Drosophila melanogaster: one gene and its partners. Changing the gene in region 3 together with the main gene of any one other region gives a genetic interaction. Each region holds a gene or a part of one and is shown on either strand. Other genes may lie near its edges. The genes, in order: Scr, tna, skd and Pvr.

Region 1 (4,627 bases), on a different chromosome or scaffold from region 3:
TCATTGGCAAAGTCCCATGAAGTTCCAGCCCAGTGCGTCTTCTTTTATTTTACATAATTTCATGTTCGCCCCATGGCGTCTTGGCCAGCATGAGTTCGAGTTCCCCGGATAGTAGCCAAGCCTATATCGTGGGCATTTCTTCATCCCTATCCCAGCTTGGGCTCGGTATATAACGCTATGTGTCTGGATTAACCTTCTATATGCGGCGCTTGTTAGGCATTTTTCATTCGCTGTGACATTTCGCCTTTGTGCCTCTTAATTATTTCAAAAGCGGCTGCATTTCGCTTTAATGAAGTGAAAATTCCTTGCGTTGATACCGCACACGCAACCTTATGAAAAATTGCTTAAACAGAATACAGAAACAAAGCCCCGATATAGGGAAATATATAAAATGTATTTTCTGGGTTCGGTTACTAGGTATCAAAATATATTTCATTGATTTTTTCAAATTATATTATTTGATATGGAGTGTCTTAAGAAGCAAACAGGGGAAATTATTACGCACCTTTGATGATTTCTTCAAAGAATATTAAATTGATTTATTAAAGAAATTAAAAATTTCTTATTTTTTTTTAACTTACTAGTGTTGGTATTATTTCTTCAATAAGAAAGTCAAAGTACAAGATAAAGATTGTAAGATTAAAAATAAAATTTAAGGTGGTAGAAATATTGTTACTTAAAAAAATATGTACATACGAACAAAGCACTTTTTTATTGTAAATATTATTTGATAAATAAAATCGCATCAAATTGTTAAGAAAAAACTATAATTAAATTGCTTTAGACCAAATATTGCTACATAAGTTCTTAACACATCAAAAAAAAAAACACTAGAAAATACAAAACAAAAACTGACAACGAATAAATATCCTTTCCATGACTGTTTTCACCTGTTCCAAAGCGCTTAAAATATTTTCAGCCGTTAAACTCGTTTACTCACAATTTTAGTTAGCCGACGGCGTTCACCTCCGTTCAAGTGAGTTTGTTTTCTGATTTTCACTGCACTGAACCACGATTTTCACTTGTGCTGAGTGCGGAAATCAACGTGCACAATTACGAAGGTAGAATTGTCACAACCAGCCGGATATCTGGGAAATTAATCCGATGGCATCCTGAGGGCAAACTGGCTAGACTTTTGCGTCCTACCTGCAGGCTTATGTTTTGGATGGTTCTAATGGGTAATTGGCCGCAAAGGGCTAAGCGACGGATTTGGACGGCTTTTGGTATCACAAACACACAAGCACACGCGCAATTTGTTACAGATCACGATAAGTATATGCGCTATGACGGAGTATCTAAGTATCTGCGCGAATTTCACGCCGAATTTATGACTGTCCATCAGCGCCAGCATCGATGCAAGCACTTTGCAGTCCATCCATCTTTCGCTAAAATCGAACAGTATTCGAGGGTCTTTACACGCGGAACAGCTGAGTGTTGGATTGTTTGAGTTTTTTTATTTGTGCTTTTTTTTCTGTTATTCCGGTGTATCCGCGGATACGTGCTCGAAGCGCCAATGTCTCACTTTGACTGCTCGGGCATAATTCAAATTTCTGAGCATCAATAAAAAACACAGATACGCCAGCGCTCTGGCTCACTCATACTGCTCCATTTCCCCCGTCCAATTGTATCTGCGAGTACGAGCAAGTAAGGCTATATGGCTATACAGCTACATATCGTCGTCCAAGTGCAGTGTTCATTATTCGAAAAGTGTGCGAGAGAGACAACGGGCATTGCGCCGCTCCGCCATCTCGCTCGCTCTCAGGCATGTGCTGAAACTACCTTTGCGGACGCGAAGAACGTTTCGAATCAACCGCCAAACCAGAAATTCGTTCCCACAAATTGTATCTCACGGATACGAATACGACACATCGGTGTGTGTGTGTGTGAGTTCGAAAGAGCGGTAGTTCGAAAAGCACCGCTCTCGCGTGTTTCGAACAAGTTCTTATTGAGAGAGATCGTTACTCGGTAGTTCGAAAATCATGTTTCGAACTGCGACTAAAGTCTTATTGTTCTCACCGACACTGTCCGTGTGAGATCGATTTCGGGGGACCAAATCATAAACATTCGAACTCCGTACTTTGGGCTAGTTGGGATAAAATCAAGACTCTGGGACTCATTTTGGGAGTTTGGAGAAGTAAAATCTGTCTCTGAAGATTTAATATATATTTTTAATGTTGTTCATATATTTTTTTTTAGTTAAGTGTGCAGTTAGTTTATATAACATTTGGAGGTATTGCAAAGAAGTAAAGTAATTGGATTTCTGAACTTGCTAAAATAATATATATTTATAAAAAATATATATATATATATTATATTGATTTTTTACAATTGACACCTTTTTTGTATTCTACAATATTTATTGTTTGTTAAATTGACTCTAAAATATTCAATCCTCCACACCACAGTGCAGTTTTAATTCAGAATGATTTGAGTGGAAAAGTTTAGAAAGGTTAAAAGGAACCATTTAACGATATATCGATGGTTTCATTTAAACCTTTAAGGGCAAAACTTTCTTAAATTTTCTTCTTACATTCAGAGTTTAGTTTTTCTACGTTTGTTATTTTCTTACCTTTATGTGGACGATTTGGGGAAATCCAATCAGACGCTACGAACAAGTCGTTGTAATTCAATTAGTTTTCTTAGCCAGCACTTCACTGTATACTTTTTATTTTCGTATTAATTGTATTTGCCTTTTGCACTGCACTTTGCTATCTTAGTTATTTGCGAAGATGAGCAGTTTGAGAAATTATTTGAGGTGGGTAGGTAATTCCGCTCCTATGTAAAGGAGTTAGTCGGTAAAGTATCCGCTATGGGGAGACCATGGCACCTTGCCGTCGCCAAAGAGCTTTCCATGGAATCGCAAGACTGGCTTTCAAGCGGAAACTTCGCGGATTGCTACGCGTACGAATACGAGAACGTGTATCTGTATCTTTTTATGTTTGCAGAAGACCGAGCGCGCTGCTTGGCGACTGAAGTGCGCCACGTTCAATTCACGTTTGAGCCATAAAAACCGACAAAACGACCCTCTCGTGCGTTGCCTTGTGTGCGTTTCGAACACTGTAAATCATTTGAGGACCCGGCCAACGAGTGCGAGAGAGAGGACGGACAGTGCGCATTTTCGAAAATCCTGCTGTCCCACTTGCACCCACGGCAGACTCCGCCCCCAGTCTTGATTTATGCGACGAGGGTGCCACGGCAACCGGCCTATGGCGCTCCAGCTTTTCCCTCGATTTGGGGAAAAGCGCGCTCTCGAGAAAAGCGAGAAATACGAGAAAAGCGAGAAAAAACAGGTAGTTGGCAGCCACTCCAGGACACATCTGCCCCCGGTTCACGCTCCAGATTAGGCCGAAATCATCCTAGATTAGGCGTCTCCCCCACTTTATTTGTATTCAATCGTGGCACTGTTCCGCTAAATCACCGCCACATTATTATTTCGCATTATTATTTTATAAACGTTCCGCTCCGCGTTCATTTCCATTTTTATTGGCCTGGCAAAATGCAAAGTCTCCTGCTGAAGCTTAAGTTATTCCTCCTTTAAAACGAGCTCGTTGGCAGTTGTCTCTGAATTTAAATTTATCGGTCTGTTTCGGGGCTGCGGATCGGGTTCTCTTTGGGCCGTAGCCAAGTTCAAGTTCTCATGATTCATTCAGCATCGGGGCTTAACGATTTTGATTTGTTTGGCTAAATGCCTTAATTAAAAGTCGATTTCATATTTGCTACCAACAATCCAGCATCGCATTCAGAGCTGAACACACATATGGTTTGATTTTGGCGTCATTTGAATTTGAATTCAATTGATTAGTTTGTCTCGGAGATTTAAATGTTGATTAGCTATTTTTTATCATAAAAATGAGTTGCTGGTTAAGACACACCCAAAATCGATTTTGAATGAGATTATTTTTTTTATTTTTATTTTTGGAATCTAACGTTTATGTTGCGAAACCACAAACATATACCAAATACAGATAAATGGCATAGGTCATTCGTAATATATTGCAAAAGCAAAAGTTTGTTTTAATAAGTATTTATAGTGAGTGTCTTAAAAATTATCTTATTTAAAAACGTATAAACTTAATACGTTTATTTGATACGAACTTGTAATAAAAGTGTTTTTTTAAGTGGTACTGAACGGTTACTTTCGAAACCCGAAACGCGAAATCAGCAATTCTTTCGAAAATATGTTTATTAAAATATAAATAAATTTTGTAAGTACGTATTTCGGAATTTATAGCTTAAGTTTATGTACCAATTCGATTTGTTCTTCTTATAGAAGTCGTATTTTTTGCCATATGTTTTCCGCTGTGTTTTTGAAACACACATGTCAGCTCTTTATGGTTGGCCCGCATCATCCACAAACCATATAAAAGTATAGAAAAAAACAAATGATGGAAAATAAATGAAAAACTAAAAAAAAAAAATCATAAGAGAGACGCCTGCGTGTACTTCTGTAATTGGAGTTGATGTTGGCGATGCCAGCGGGCAGCCAGCGCCAGACTCTCGTATCCCAATCCATAGCATAGCATAGCATCCTCTCGGATCCCATTCCATTCTAGATCCATGGAGGGTCCCCAGCAGCATCCAACATGTTGCAGGCGATTTTTCATCATCGCTTGCATGTTGCCTCCGA
Region 2 (4,893 bases), about 10 Mb from region 3:
ATACATTTTTCTTTCTCTGCATTTGTATCTGTTTATGGGCAGCAGGGCAACGCTTGGATTCTAATTGTCGAAGTCGTCATTTGTCGTCGCTTTTTCATTGGCGTCATCCATTGCTGTCGTCGGGGTGTGAGATTTAAGTCGGTTTATCGACAGCATCGTCGCCGATTTTGGTTGCGTATTGTCGCCTATATGGCACCTCCCCCCCCCTATTTATGCTCCCCCCTGAAAGCCCCACCGATTGATCATCATCATCATCATTGTACGCTGCCTTTGTTTGTGCGGCTCGCGTATTTCTTCAATAAATTTTCAGTTTATTCGGTTTATTTATTTACTTATATTTGCTATTGCTCTTTAGCTCGTATCCACCGCCCCACTTCAGTTCACAATTCCCTTTCCATTTTGGCTTCTTCGCTTTTCGCTTTGTTTTCTCGCAGCCTTATGATTATTTTTCTCAGTTTCCACCTCCGAAGAGCCCCATTCCCTCCAAATCTTCGCCCTCCATCGTCTCCGTCGCTCGCGTAATTGAATTTCAACTTGTTTGCATTGTCGACGATGATGATAATTCGTCGGGGTATTTTGCGTATTGAGATCAGGGCCTCATCAATTAGTAAATTAATTTTATGCTCGCCGCTTTATGGAAATAAAGTTTTGCAGCATCCGAGCCGAGGAAAGTGGAAAATCAGAGGGATGAGCACAGGAAGCAAGCTTAAGATTGAAAATCTTGTTTGTTTACTCAGTTAGAAAATCGCCTGGAATTCTTGAGATATTCATCCCGAAGGCCGTCGTAAAAATCCTTAATCAATTTATGGCTCTTTTGTGTTCTGAACAATTTAATTAAGTTCTTTAAGGCACTGCAAACTACTTTGTTGTATACAAATGAACAAATATTAACCTTTTACTGCTAACGAAACTAAACAAATATAAAAAATGTTAGTCTTGAACTGAGCAATATTATTATAAATTTTAAATATAATTACTATGCAATACTGCAGCTCTTCAAATAACAAATGTATTTTAACTTAACTACCACTTCCCGCACATTTTTCAACTAGTTAACTTTTATTTGTCCCATTTTACAGAATGAAATGTCAGTAAATATTTTTGTAATTATTCGATTTATTTTTTGCGCCATTTGACGTACCAAAATTTCAATTATAATCAGCTTTGGCTTTATTTAAATATGGCACACATTTACCAACCAACCACCACTCCCACTTTTAGCTCATTATTTATTTTCTACTGTCCGTTTCCCACGGAAAGTTGCAATTATCATATTTGACTTTTCCGCATAAATTCTGTGAATTATCTCACCGCAACTATTTTTATTTGTTTTAATTATTATTATAGTAGTTTTAGCAAATGTATTTTGTTGCCATTTTATTTTTTGTGTTTCACAAAATATTACAGAACTCGAACGGAATGTTTGTGCCATTGATTCGTATTTGCGGTTGGCAAACCGAAACGAAATGTGCAACAAATTATTTCTGATATTATTATTTATTTATAGAAAAAGCTGAAAATAGAAAAAAAGTCATCAGCAAAATATGATATGTGACAATTCAATCACAAATCGAGATAGGAACCCTCTCTCAATTTTATATATTTTTTTGTTGTGTTGATCCCAAATGCAAAAATTGCCCGTTAAAATGCAATCTTCATTATTTAATTTATTTGAATTTTTGCTGGCAATAAATATTCATTTCTGACCGTAGTGGGTGTTGGCCTCTGTAGATATGGGAAAATTGTATGCAAATACAATTAAATGTTTTCATATGCATTTTGTGTGCTCCTCGATTTGATTGCTGCCAAGGGATATGTCTTGTTCAAACGGTTTACGTGGCGTATACTTGATATTATGTATTTTCTATGAATGTGCAATTTTTATTTATTATGCCAAGCAATTGAGAAAGAAAGAAAGATTAATCAAGAGCTTTGAAGAATATGTTATATATATATATATTGGGTTTGAATACTTTCCGCTCGAGCCCATTGAATATTTAAACATTACAATTGCTGTGGTGATTTCTGGCCATTTTAATCTGCTGCTAAGTCCCACTTTTGTCCGGTCAATGTGTAAATCAATAATGCATTAAAAACTTATTAGAACAAACAAGGATTCATTAGGCGCAATCTGTGTTCGTCCGTTTCGCAGTTGTTATTTATATCGATATAACAAGGTAATAACTGCACACTTAAGTATGCAAATAGCCTGGCCCGCACCTTCGTCCTTGTATGCCTGTGTGTGCGTGCGTCTGTGTTTGCACATGCAAATGTTATCATTTGTGATTAGTTACAGTCCTGAAATGCTAATGCCCCTTGACAAGCAACAGCAACAACCGCAAGACAACTCACTTTCGGGTTAACTGGAATGCCAGCCAGTGTATGTCTGTGTATGTCTGTACATCTGTGTGCCTTTGATCCTTATGAATAGTCAGCCAGCCGGAGGACGAGCCGAATTTGCCCCGGCTGGCATTGTGCTTCGCTCTGAATTATTTACACAAATCCAACTGCAATCGTTTGTCAATTTGCCAATTGACAGTGAACATAATTGATGGTGATTAAGGGTGAACGTAGTAGGTAAAGAAGGTGGGATTGCTTTATGAAGTCATTCGCTTGGCAAAAGATTGTTATGTTGTAGTGTGAGGCCATAGATTTGGTAAATTATTGTCGTACCGTTACTATTGTAAGTCTCAAAACTGAAAGACTTATCTTAACACTGTAATTATAAATACTAATTCGATATCTATGATATATATATAGTCTATTATATCTAAGGATAACATACTTCCCTCCGTTGAGTGCATCCTGCAACTGCTTCAAGCATCGATCGATTTTTCTTTCCCTCACTTGTGAGCCATATTTGGATGACGAATAGGGATCGAACAGGAATGGAAAATAGGGATGTGGGTCAAACGTTAAAACGGAAGTCGAATCATCTTTGGTGATTTCCTCCTTGACTTTCTCCTTTCTGGACTCCTTCACTTGTTCCACCTTTTCACTCATTTCGCCACTTGCCAATCTGCGTTACGTATACGCCACGTTGAACAAACCACGTCTAATCGAACCGAGATTTTTTTACCGCACTTCCAAACGCATCGAACTCTCTTTGGCAACTGCCGTCTAGTTCTTTGTCCAACTTCCTCTGCGATTAATTTTTATTAGTAGTGCCTCCAGTGCCTGGCAGTAGTTATTACAGTTGGCCAGCGCACATCTTAGCCATAGGTGGACTAATCACCAGCGCCATCAGCTGCAGTCTTACAGCAACGGCTGGCACTCGATTGCCTTCACCACCCATTCTGAAGGCCACGCGAAGCTTTTTGCATATTGCGTATACGTCATGTGCGTCCGGGATCGAGTTTCATTTCACGGTAATATATGAAAAATTCCTGGTAATGCAATGCGATCCCCAAACTGATTGCTTTAATGGTTTGTTGACTCAGTTAGCTGGCGAATAACAGCAGCTACTGTCAGCGTATTTCTATAAACTCTTAAAGTCGGGTTTTAAGTACATTAGACCTTGTGCTGTGATCCTCATATGAGTGGAATATTCCTACTGTGCGATTTATTGAGAGTGCTGAAAATATACTTTTCGAAAAATTTTCAATAAAAATATTGCAATCTGCTATTACTGCGAAATATCTTCTTAATTCATATCAATGAATGTATTTCATCAATGTAAATTCCCATTTGTATGGGATATACTTAGAAAATTATAGACCATCTCTATGAAAATTCTTTGCAACACAATAGTAACTCAATTCATTCAAATAATAAGGGAATTTTTAAACTCGTCGAGTTTTCTAAATGATCTAGTTTTATTAAAAGAGTAATATAAGTATATACCTTAACTTTCCGCTTTCTTCGCAATACACTTTGGGGTAATTCCTCAAATATTTTCGTCGTTCGTCGGTCTAGCTGGGAAAATTGAGAAGTGAGAGGTGGAAAAAGTGACCTCATTTGGCATAGGACCTCATTTCCTAACGCCCAACGAACCGCTATTTTTTGTTGTACGTCGCAGTTAAGTGTCCTTTCGCATTTCGTTTGCTTGGTGTTTGTCCTGTTTTGTGGGCGGTTGATTTGCTCCTTGGCTCCTCCCGCATCCTGTTCGTCCTGCCCTTGTTTTGCTTTCGGCTTGGTGCCCATGTAACTTGCTGGAAAATTAATAATAATAAAAAAACACCTACCACGGGGTGGGAGTACACGCGTGACCCTATTAAATGTGTGCTAATAAAAGCTTGGCAGCTCCGAAAAAAAATCCAAGGAAAATAAGGGAAACACGCAGGGGCAAGAGCGCAGATAGCTGACCAAGTGCGTAATGTTGGACAGAATATTTCTATGCCCAAGTGGTGAAGAAGTCTTGCTTACAAATTTCTGAAGTGTACAATGGACGATGAAATTACTTAAAAATTCACGAAGAAATGCGAAAGATGACGATGATGATGGGGTGGGGAAAACAAAATCAACGCTCACAAAAGCGGAAACATTTAACGGGGGCGGTGGTGGGTTGATGGTGTTTCTATTTACGCTAAAGGTCAACTTTTTCCATTTGCAGCTTGGTCATTTATAAAATCTTTCGGTATTATTAAGCAAAGCGAGGAAAACCAACTAAGAGGATGAAGTGGTGGAAAGGACTAAGGAAGTACATAAAGAAAACCCAAGGAGGACCAAAGCCGAGTTCTGTTGTGTCCGCGATTTATCAAATTAATGAGTATCATTTTATTTTCATTTCATTTTCTATGCGCCAGCACAAAAAGCGAAGGACGAAATCTCCGAAATTCCAGCAAGGAGTGGTCCAAAAGGAGAGCTTCGAAAATTAAGGTAACTTTTTGGCAAAGCCAAAGGAAAAATGAGTGGAAAAAATGTATAAAAAAGAAATCAAAATAAATGAGAAAG
Region 3 (4,927 bases):
TTGGCTATTTAATGATTTGTTGGATATCAACATACCAAAAGATAAGTAAATTACTTATTAAACACTGAAACATCACAACATTCAAAATTTTTGTGCGTACATTGCCCCAATTTTATGTATAAATATTAAAGAAGAGAAGAGATTGCCAATTGACCCTAAGAATGAAATATGACATCATAATGTAAAACATTAGAAATGATAAATAGTTCAATATCTGGTTTTAACATATTTTCGTGTGGCTGCATTCATGTTAAGTTTCTGTAGGATATTTGCGAAGCTTCTGCAGCGATAACGACAAACAGCTGTGTCTGACCGGCAGCGCCTACATTTCGGCTACCAATCGATAAGAGTGTGAGATTACGAGCGAGAGAGGGGTGGGGAAGAGGATGATCCCATGATCGGTAATGTAAATTGTTGTTTCTGAGTGGGTGACACACCCCCGCAGGCCAATGAGCCCCCTCGAGAACAACCCCTCCTGAATCATCAACACTGACCTAGATACTGCAGCAAAAAAAAATAAAGCCCATTGCGAAAAATAAGAAACAATTGCCCAGAAAATCAACACAGTACTCACCAAGGCATAAAAGTTTGTGTGGCAATCCTCCAAACTTGCGCCGTTTGTCTGATGATTTTGATGCGTCATAGTTCTTGGCTTGTTTTCTTCGCACAGCAGCAGCACCTCATTTTCTCAACGTTGTTTGCTTATAGTGTATTGCTATTATTGTTATTTATCCGATGTGTTGTTATTTGTTGTTGATTTTGATACTCTGTAGTATTTTGCACATTTGCTTGCTGCTTTTTCTGCTCTTTTTATTTTGGATTTTTATTTTTTATTATTGATTCTGCTGCACGCACACAGCAATACTCTCTCACACACACACACAACGGTATAGGCACGGACACACACGCGAGAGAGACGACACACACGGATACACAAATAATGAAGAGCTCTCTTTCGTCTCGTTTCTTTACTTTCGATATTTTGTGGTTGTTGTTGTGGTGTTAGATTTTGTTTGTAATTTGCTATTTGATGTTTGGTTTTGATTTTTATTATGTGTATTTTGTATTTATCTGCTCTCTGGGGAGAGTATGTTAGCGTAAACGTTGCTTTGGCAATGAAACACACATACTGTAGAATTAAGCATGTTGCTTTTGTTGTTGTTGGTTAAAGCTGGAATATAAGAAGAATTAGACTTTGAGCACACATTTTTCCCGCTTGGCATATGTTTTCTTTTCCGAAAGAGATGCATTTATTAGTTAATTTTCTTATTGTTTTAACTTGCTTATTTGTTGCTACACTCACTCAATCACACACACACATCTAGATCACAATTACAAGGGTTCGTTCATTCGCTGTTTCATTCATGCAAAAAGAGAGCAAGCAGAGAGAGAGAGCGACTCAGAAATTGACTTTTTTCAGCCACAGGCAGCGAGTATACACCGCACACACACATTTACTTCTAGAAACACACAAACGACGATGAAAGTCGTTGGATTTTCGTTAATCGTTGATGTAGACAAAATAAAATAGGTAAGAGTTTTCGGCTGTATTCGAATTCAAACCCAACCAATTTATGTTTAATCAAAAAGAACTACACATTTATAGAGCGCAAATCAAGATGAGTAATCAAGGAAAACACCAACACATGCACTCGCACGTACTGTGAACACACAAAACTCGAAGCTGCGACTATTTTTTGGTTTCGAAAAACAACAGTAGCTCAAAATATTTATTAATATTTAATCTATTACTCAGGCTTGAATTTCTTGCGTTGTATTTAGTGTTTTTTGCGCACGAATGACGAGTCAGAAATTTTCGAACCGACTGCGAACGCTGGTCGCCACACACAATGGAAATTTTGCTCGCCTAGCTTTGAATCGGCCATATATATGGTATATAGCCAGTATGTAGTGTAGTTGTACCAGCGGCGAGTGGCGAGAGAGCAGAAGAGGGCGAGTAGCGGCCGAATTCGAATAGCGGCTTTTGCTCTTTTTGCTGAGCAGAGAGTGAGAGAGAGGAGAGAGGGAGAAAACAAGTTTTACCAGCTAACTGCATATGCATTGGTGTGCGTGTGCGTTAGTGGCGTCGGCGTCTGTTTATCTCGCTCTCGCTCGCTCTTTGTGCATCTCTTGGGGATGCAACCATTTTGAGCGAGAGGCAGACAGAGAGAGACCGAGCACATAGATCGATTAAATTAAGGGAAAAATCTCAAACTAAAACGAAACTCGAAGGAAATCCGAAATTCCATAAATTATGCACTATACAACACTACATAGCACACACACGCACGCAAATATGTAGAGTGCGAAACGTGATACATAGACGGGCAGCAGCATTCCTCTCACACACACACGCATCAACCATACACCTACATGGCAGAGCAACCACTTTCGTAGTTTTCCTTTCGCACCGTTTTCTCTGTTTCTGGGCAGTAATGTGTGTGTACACATCAAATTTTCTGATTTTTACTTTCGGCCACTCGAAATAGCCGGAAAAAAATGCCATCGATAACTAAAATCGCACAGTTGTTGCATATTCCTCTTTCTTACACTCTCCTCCTTTTCCACCTCTTTCTTTCAATCACACACACACTACATAGGCACACCGCCGGGGCAGCGACCGCTAGAGCAATTAAAAACCATTAAACATTTCCGCTGCCAATGCTTAAACACGTCTTGAAAATCATTTAATGATTTTGCGCCACAATTATTTGTCAAACAACGGCACTTGGGCATTATTATTTATATTTAATTTGCTGCACCTCTTGCACGCATACACGCATACAGCACACACGCACACCCTCTCACTTCTCGGGCAATCGCTTTTGCATTTGCATTTTTGATCACTTTTCTACGTTTTAATCGCCGTTTTTGATGTTCTTTCCGACTACCGATGTAAACTTGTCTTGAATCTTTACATTTTGTGCCACTTTATCTATCGCATTCGCATACGGAAAAATCTGCGATCGATTTTTATAACAATTCGCAACAAATATGAGGGAAAACTTGCCGTCGGCGGCAGAGCCAGTGTTGCCAGCTAGCACAGACAGAAAACTACTAAAGAGGTGGCACAAAAGCACTAATAAATACCACAGAACACTAAGTCTTCACAATGGGAAGTTCAAAATATACAACAAATTAATACTTCTTAATTTAGAATGGTATATTTTTTAAATTATTTGTTCTATGTCTTCAAAGGTATTACACATCTTATATATAAATAAATAAAGGATCTCTTAAATTTAATTTAATAACGGTTATAGAAACCTTTTAATGAAATGGTTTAAGTGGTGCGAATGCGTAAAGTGATTGGAATGAAGTGTAAAATAAAAGATATTTTTATTCTGTTTGAATCAATTCCGTCAACTGATTGTTTGATCCTTCTTAAAACAAATTTTTTTAAAGGTGAATACAAACTATAATAAATTGTACAATAGAAGAATTTGTAATCTATTAAAATGGAAACAAATAAGTGTTTTGTCACCACTAGCATCCAATTGCATCGCTAACACCAGCCACTTGTGTTCCCATCCCTAAGAGTGACCGTACTCCCCATGGCCAAAAAGTGTGCACCGAAGCGGCGCTGCCGTGCGAAAACCTGTTCCCGCTCAAGACCGCCGTTACACACCCCCTGCGCCGCCTCCTCGGAATTCCATGACACTGCGTGGGGCAATAAAAACAAACAGAACGCTTGGCGGCCACCTGAGAGCGGAGCAGCGACCAACTGTAAAAGTGGGCCGCCCGGGAAGAAGAAGAAGCAGCGTAGGCAGCAGGTGACGCCGACAGCGACGTCGGCAGAGACGCAAGCAGCGACGGACCTCGAAGATTTCACTTTTCGACGAACGATTTAACTGAGCGGAGCTAAGAAACGCGATTTTCATACAAGCAATTGAAAAAAATAGTCGTGTTGTAGGCGAAAATAACTAGAAAATGGCCATGTACCGCGCCAGTGGGTTAAGGATTATGCAACAGATGCGACGCAGGATTCCCGTCGAACTGCAGCCACTCCAAGTGGCCAAAGCTGCGCCTGCGCTGCAAACTTTCACTTCTCAGCGCTGGACTTCGACGACGACGACCAGTGGAAAGCATGCCAGTCCACAGGTTACGACCCCGCCCCCGAGACACGACTGGAATAGGGCGGTCAGCGAGGCGGAGCGCATCGTCGGCTATCCCACATCCTTCCTCAGTCTGCGCTGGCTGCTCAGCGACGAGATCGCCAATGTGGCGCTGCACCTGCGCAAACTGGTGGGCAGCGCCCATCCGCTGATGAAGACGGCCAAGTGAGTGGTGCTGAAGGGCTTATAGGGCGTTGAAATTTATGTGAATCTTCCGCTTCAGGCACCTGCTCTACAATGGCAAGAACACGATGCAAGCCTGGGGATTGATAGTGCTCCTGGTGTCCAAGGCCGCAGGACATGCACCCAGTGTTCCAGACGTGGAGCAGGACAAGAGTGCCGGAGTGCTGCACTCCCAAAGGGCTTTGGCCGAGGTCACCGAGATGATACGGATATCTCATCTGGTGCACAATGTAAGTTTTTGATCAAATGCATTCGAAAGTTACTCGTAAACTGAAAGTGGTTTGTATGCAAATGAGTTTAACTTTCCTCAAATTTAGTTGACGAAACTCAAGAAACGAACATCAATATGTCATTGGTCGAGCTGATGCCTCATAGATTATAAAAATATTTACACTTGGTCCCATTTTAGAGCGTGGTTAATCTGCAATCGAGCACGCAGGCTGGGCAGGATGTGGACACCTACGACGACATGTCGTTTGGCAACAAGATCGGCCTGCTGACCGGCGACTATCTTCTGGGCCATTCCAGTGCGGAGCTGGCTAATCTGCGCAACCAGGAGGTGGTGGAGCTGATCTCGTCGGCGGTGCGAGATTTTTCCGAGTCGGAATTCATTGGAGAGCGTGATGAAC
Region 4 (4,757 bases), on a different chromosome or scaffold from region 3:
ATAACTCTTCAGTTGTCACTCGAGAGATTTGGAAAAGTTGTTTCTTTTCTTTTCCATAAACTGGGAACTTAATAAAAATAATAGAAAGACCATTGCCGGTGAAATTGAATCGTTGGCATTCTGCCCACATATTATACAACTACAACGCGTGGCGACAACAAGTTGGTTGGTTGGCCAGCTGCTGGCGAATAAATAGAAATGTTATATGCGTTCACTTAATAGCCGACAAGTGTTTAATTTGTTTGTTTTGGGTTTCGCCCGATTAATAAATAAATATGGCCAATGTATATAGCCCATTTAGTGCCTCGCCGTGACCTCAAAACATGGCTCAATTTTATGCGATTTGTTTACTCAATGCATTTTTTGTTTTGACTGGCTGGCTGCCTTCTGCCATTTTATTCCCGACGGAAATAAGATTGCTTTTATATATATATATACATATATTTTCTTATTTCCCTGATTCTCCGAAGTGCACTTGATTACGTGCAGTTTATGGGGCAGATAAAATTTTCCCAACGAATGGGCTTTAGTCTAAAGTTTCCAGCGCTTATGAATGGGCTTTAGTCTAGGGCTCAGGTGAAAGCCAATTGCCTGCTTAGCCTTTTTTTTTGCAGATTTATGGCCAAGTTATTTCCACCTCTCCATGCAGACAGTTACAATGGCCTGGCCAAAACATTTGTTGTCCGCTGTCAATTTATTATTTGTTATTTATTATTTACGTTCTGACTCAGACCACGGCGGATGTAAAGAGGCGAAGGTGTCCATTCATAGAATGCCAAACCAACCAACCAACCAGCCAGCCAACCAACAAAGTGGTGTGAAAACGTGTTCAATGCTGGCCGAGATTGTCCAACGAATCGGTTTTATTTATGGCTTATTGGTAACCGGCAAATTCAATTAAACAGATATTATCTTAAATGGAAATTTATGAGCCAATTCGCCCAAAGAGTTAAGGGGTTTCTCAAAAATGTTTCAGCTTATCCGAACTGCCTTAGAGAAACGCAAAATGATTTTTCTCTCTACAGATGTACAAAATGTACCTAAACTCAATTCTAGTGTTTTTATCTACAACAGGAAGTCAATCTTCTGTGCATAAGCAATCCTCTTGAGATTAAAAAGATCTCTTGTGCAATAATACATATCAGCATTCTAAATATCTCTAGAGATATTACAATCGCTTGAAATGCACACAAATTCGTTGTCACACACATTCTTTGATTATTTTGAAGTCTATTTTCGGCGAGTTCTGCTTAAATATTTTGTGTGTATTTATAATTAGTTTCTATTAATGCGAAAGAACTACTTTGTTCATTTTTTCCAGTGCATACAAAGTAATTTATTCGTAATGGAGCTCTCTACTTCAGCACAATCAACTACAGTAAAGTATCTCTAATTTGACACCCACTGCGGGGGGCGGGGCAGGTGTGCGTATCTGGTGGATACTTGGCCATAAGCCCCACCTGATTAATGTGCCATGTGCATAATGGGTAGGTGTGAAAAAGAGGTGCAAGTGGCCAGTAGCAATGTGATGGGTGCACATTTTCCAAGAACCACTAGTATCCATTGATTATTCTGGCTTATCACAACAGTTGTTCAACGCTTGATGCCAGGTGAATTGCGAATTTGGCCAGGGGAATTACAATAAATATTTCATCAACACCATTCGCGGACATTTTTATGACTCCAAACTTTGACGATTCGTAGCAGTTTTGTACCACATTTTCCGGACATTGAGAACGATGGCAATTAACAACAGCCTGGGCTGGGCAGCCTTTTGAAGTGGCCAGAGATAAATGGAGCAGTCGGCAAACTGAAGGAGGTCTGTATTCAATAAACAAATTGGGCACAGTGTGCAATTGGAGGCAATGAATTATGGGCATCTGATTTGATCAGAACTTCTCGATCCTGAGTCACGTATTGGGGGAAAATGTATCAACAGTTCGTTTGGTCAAGAAACGGATGGCGTGGAACCGGTTTAAGAAAGTCGCTATAGACACATTCAGTTGACCAGGCAAACAAAAGAAAGGTGAACCCTTTCTTCTATATATATATGTACATATATATGTATATATACCAACTTTATTTGGGTGTTTCTGGAAAAGCAGTATGAGTAAATTCGAAATCCATCGTAGTGTTATTCATATTTTCATAGTCTTACGCAGTCTACCGTTTGATCGCAGCAGCTTGGCAACAACAACAACTATTGAAGATACAACAACAACTTTTGAACGTACAACAGTCACGATCGGCGATGAATCACGATTTGAATACCTGGCACCGGTGGATGTTTGCAGTCTTGATTACTTGGAATGCCGCTGACGTATTCACCATAGACACACGCACACTTTTCGTAGACCCAACACTTATATGCACTTATCAATGAATAATACCAGGCAGTGATAATAGCACACACACACACACACGCACTTAGAAAAAGGTCACTGATAATAGTTCATTATGTACACCATCTATAGGAGCATAGTGACCATGACTATTTTGGGTGTTTTTTTTTTGTATAATTGCATCGAATTGAGCAACATCACGAGCGCCGAATTCGATTTCGATTTTCGAGCTTACGATTGACAATCACTTAGAACTCTTGTCAACCACCTGTGGCTGAGTTTGCACTTGTATTCGAATTCCGATTCGTATCTGTGTTTGTTTTTTACTTTTGCGAAGGTGTGGGGGTTCGCTCACATCGATATCTAAACTTTTGAGTGCGGATTCATTTGCTTAGCACCTTTGATGCTTCACTTATACTTATATACGACACGATTTGGTTTCGTTTCCACACGATTCTATATCTATATTATCGGACGTATCTTCGAGCCTTTCAAAAATTAACGCTTACGTTGTGGTTTTCTGTGCTTAACACTTTCTGCGTGGGGCACTTCAGCAGTATCGGTTGCTCTTGAAAGACAATAAATACTGCGTCGTCGGCAAAGTTTGAACAGTTTGCACCGAACACAAGTCAAAAGCCCGCGAAATTTCCTTCCGCTTTGACGTCCGAACAGCTCGAAAAGTTAACGTTAACTAGAGCTGGGGCACTATCGACGGTACTATCGAGGTATCCGATTCGATTGTTATTTTTTGCTATCGATGAGCGTTATCTACAGCATGTAGAATAGAACGGATAGAATAATATTTTTGTTATATCTTTAGTCAACATCATTTGAATTTTCTTGTTTCGTTAGGGAGTTTATCTCTCGTTTAGTTTCCTTTTATTATTATTTCATTATTATTTTGAAAGGTGAAGTGTACTAAATAACGAGCTAAAAATTGAACGCAATCACGCTATTCGCGGCGATGCCAGACCGCTTGAAAACAGTTCCAGTTGGCCAGTGGCGGCCAGTGATGCCATGCGTACTAAATTTCCTAACGGTTTTAGTTTTAGATCGAAGTGCTTAAAATAAAGTTTTCTTTTATTAAATAATATTTAGTATCATTTAAGCATTTCTAACGATTTGTCAGCTGAGTAAGGGGATTGTGATTTATAAGGGTCTCGACTATAGCATTTTCACTACTTTCCACCTATTAAATATTTTCAGGAAACTGGTAAATCCTTTTATTCTACAATAAAGTATAATACAATTTCCATTTATTATTGATAAGAAATAGTACATTTTATTCATTCGGTTTCACAAAGTGGCCCTGGAAATAAATGGTTTCCCTATCGCGAATGACATAGGCAAAAGGATGATCGGCATTAAAAACCATTTGAGATGACGGCATAGGCATACTATAGCGCACGAAAAGTAAAGCTGGCAAAAATAAAACATATTATACAAATATATATATAATAAAATTATATCATACCTGTTGCAGCCGCTGCCTCAGCTCCTTCTTCATTAACCTCGATGAACGCCTTATGAATGACTTTTTTCACATGAACGTTACTGTTTTCGACCAGATCTTTGAAGTCAGCAGATTTTTCGAACGCATCTTGTATGCCCATCTATAGATGAATATCTATAAATTGTAAGGGTGTATCAAGAATAATCTGTGAATACTCACCGCCACAAGAACTTTGTTTAGTTGAGCGAAGAATTCGATTTTAAACTTGGGAAGCCTTAAAGTTACATCCATTTTGGAAAGTTTCGGTTTGAATCCTACAATCTTTTTCTCCAGCTCTGATAGTCCATCGACCTGGTCCGGTAGAAAAATTAGCATGGACAGGCTTGAATTTCTGTAGGGCAGCTCGATAATTTTGGCACCCAGTTCACTATCATGTGCGGCCCTAAATGATTGAAATAGTGACATCATCTCGACAGGAACACTCTTTTGATCCGAAACACGGAAATTCCTCTTCTTCGTTAACTTGGGATTAAATTTGTACTCCCACTGGCCTTTAAAGTATATGGCATTTAAGACGATCAATTCCATTTTCGACATGTCATTGGATGAAACTAAGTCTTTGATTTTACCACGCGTCTGATTATCTACCCAATTATTGACAATTGAAGAAGCCTTATTGGGATCGACAATGTCGATTGCCTCCGCTTCAGCCATAAATGAATCCTTGACCATCTGATTGTAACTCGGTACTAGCTGGAACTTTTTGTTCACGTATATGCGATTAGCCAAACTGAGAGTGGCTACCTTCTCGCGTCCTTCGAGTTTACTCAGAAGGTCCTTGTATTTGGCTGCCACTTCCTTTTTGTCATCGGGCAGTTTCAAAACATTCCTCATTTCTTGGGCTGTCTTTGCCCTGGCTCCCATGTAGGCCATGCTCAGTGCGATTTCCACGGAAAGGGGAG

Evidence for each region.
Region 1: of skd (region 3) and Scr, changing one enhances a phenotype caused by changing the other (phenotypic enhancement), as found in Drosophila melanogaster (one study listed by BioGRID).
Region 2: of skd (region 3) and tna, changing one enhances a phenotype caused by changing the other (phenotypic enhancement), as found in Drosophila melanogaster (one study listed by BioGRID).
Region 4: of skd (region 3) and Pvr, changing one suppresses a phenotype caused by changing the other (phenotypic suppression), as found in Drosophila melanogaster (one study listed by BioGRID).

What each region holds. Positions count from the first base shown.
Region 1 is NT_033777.3:6,846,976-6,851,602, forward strand, and holds the start of Scr (Sex combs reduced), read right to left. Parts: upstream 3,007-4,627; 5' UTR 2,570-3,006; intron 1,531-2,569; exon of another isoform or gene 941-1,530; intron 1-940. UniProt on the Drosophila melanogaster protein: Sequence-specific transcription factor which is part of a developmental regulatory system that provides cells with specific positional identities on the anterior-posterior axis.
Region 2 is NT_037436.4:10,833,638-10,838,530, reverse strand, and holds the start of tna (tonalli), read right to left. Parts: upstream 3,004-4,893; coding exon 2,786-3,003; intron 1-2,785.
Region 3 is NT_037436.4:21,024,378-21,029,304, forward strand, and holds the start of skd (skuld), read right to left. Parts: upstream 3,058-4,927; 5' UTR 2,763-3,057; exon of another isoform or gene 2,551-2,762; intron 1,828-2,550; exon of another isoform or gene 1,753-1,827; intron 1,172-1,752; 5' UTR 644-1,171; coding exon 575-643; intron 1-574. Other genes in the region: Pdss2 (decaprenyl diphosphate synthase subunit 2), read left to right, coding at 3,931-4,280, 4,339-4,528, 4,708-4,927. UniProt on the Drosophila melanogaster protein: Component of the Mediator complex, a coactivator involved in the regulated transcription of nearly all RNA polymerase II-dependent genes.
Region 4 is NT_033779.5:8,236,841-8,241,597, forward strand, and holds the start of Pvr (PDGF- and VEGF-receptor related), read right to left. Parts: upstream 3,039-4,757; 5' UTR 2,852-3,038; exon of another isoform or gene 2,079-2,851; intron 1-2,078. Other genes in the region: Spn28F (serpin 28F), read right to left, coding at 3,625-3,761, 3,817-3,955, 4,015-4,757.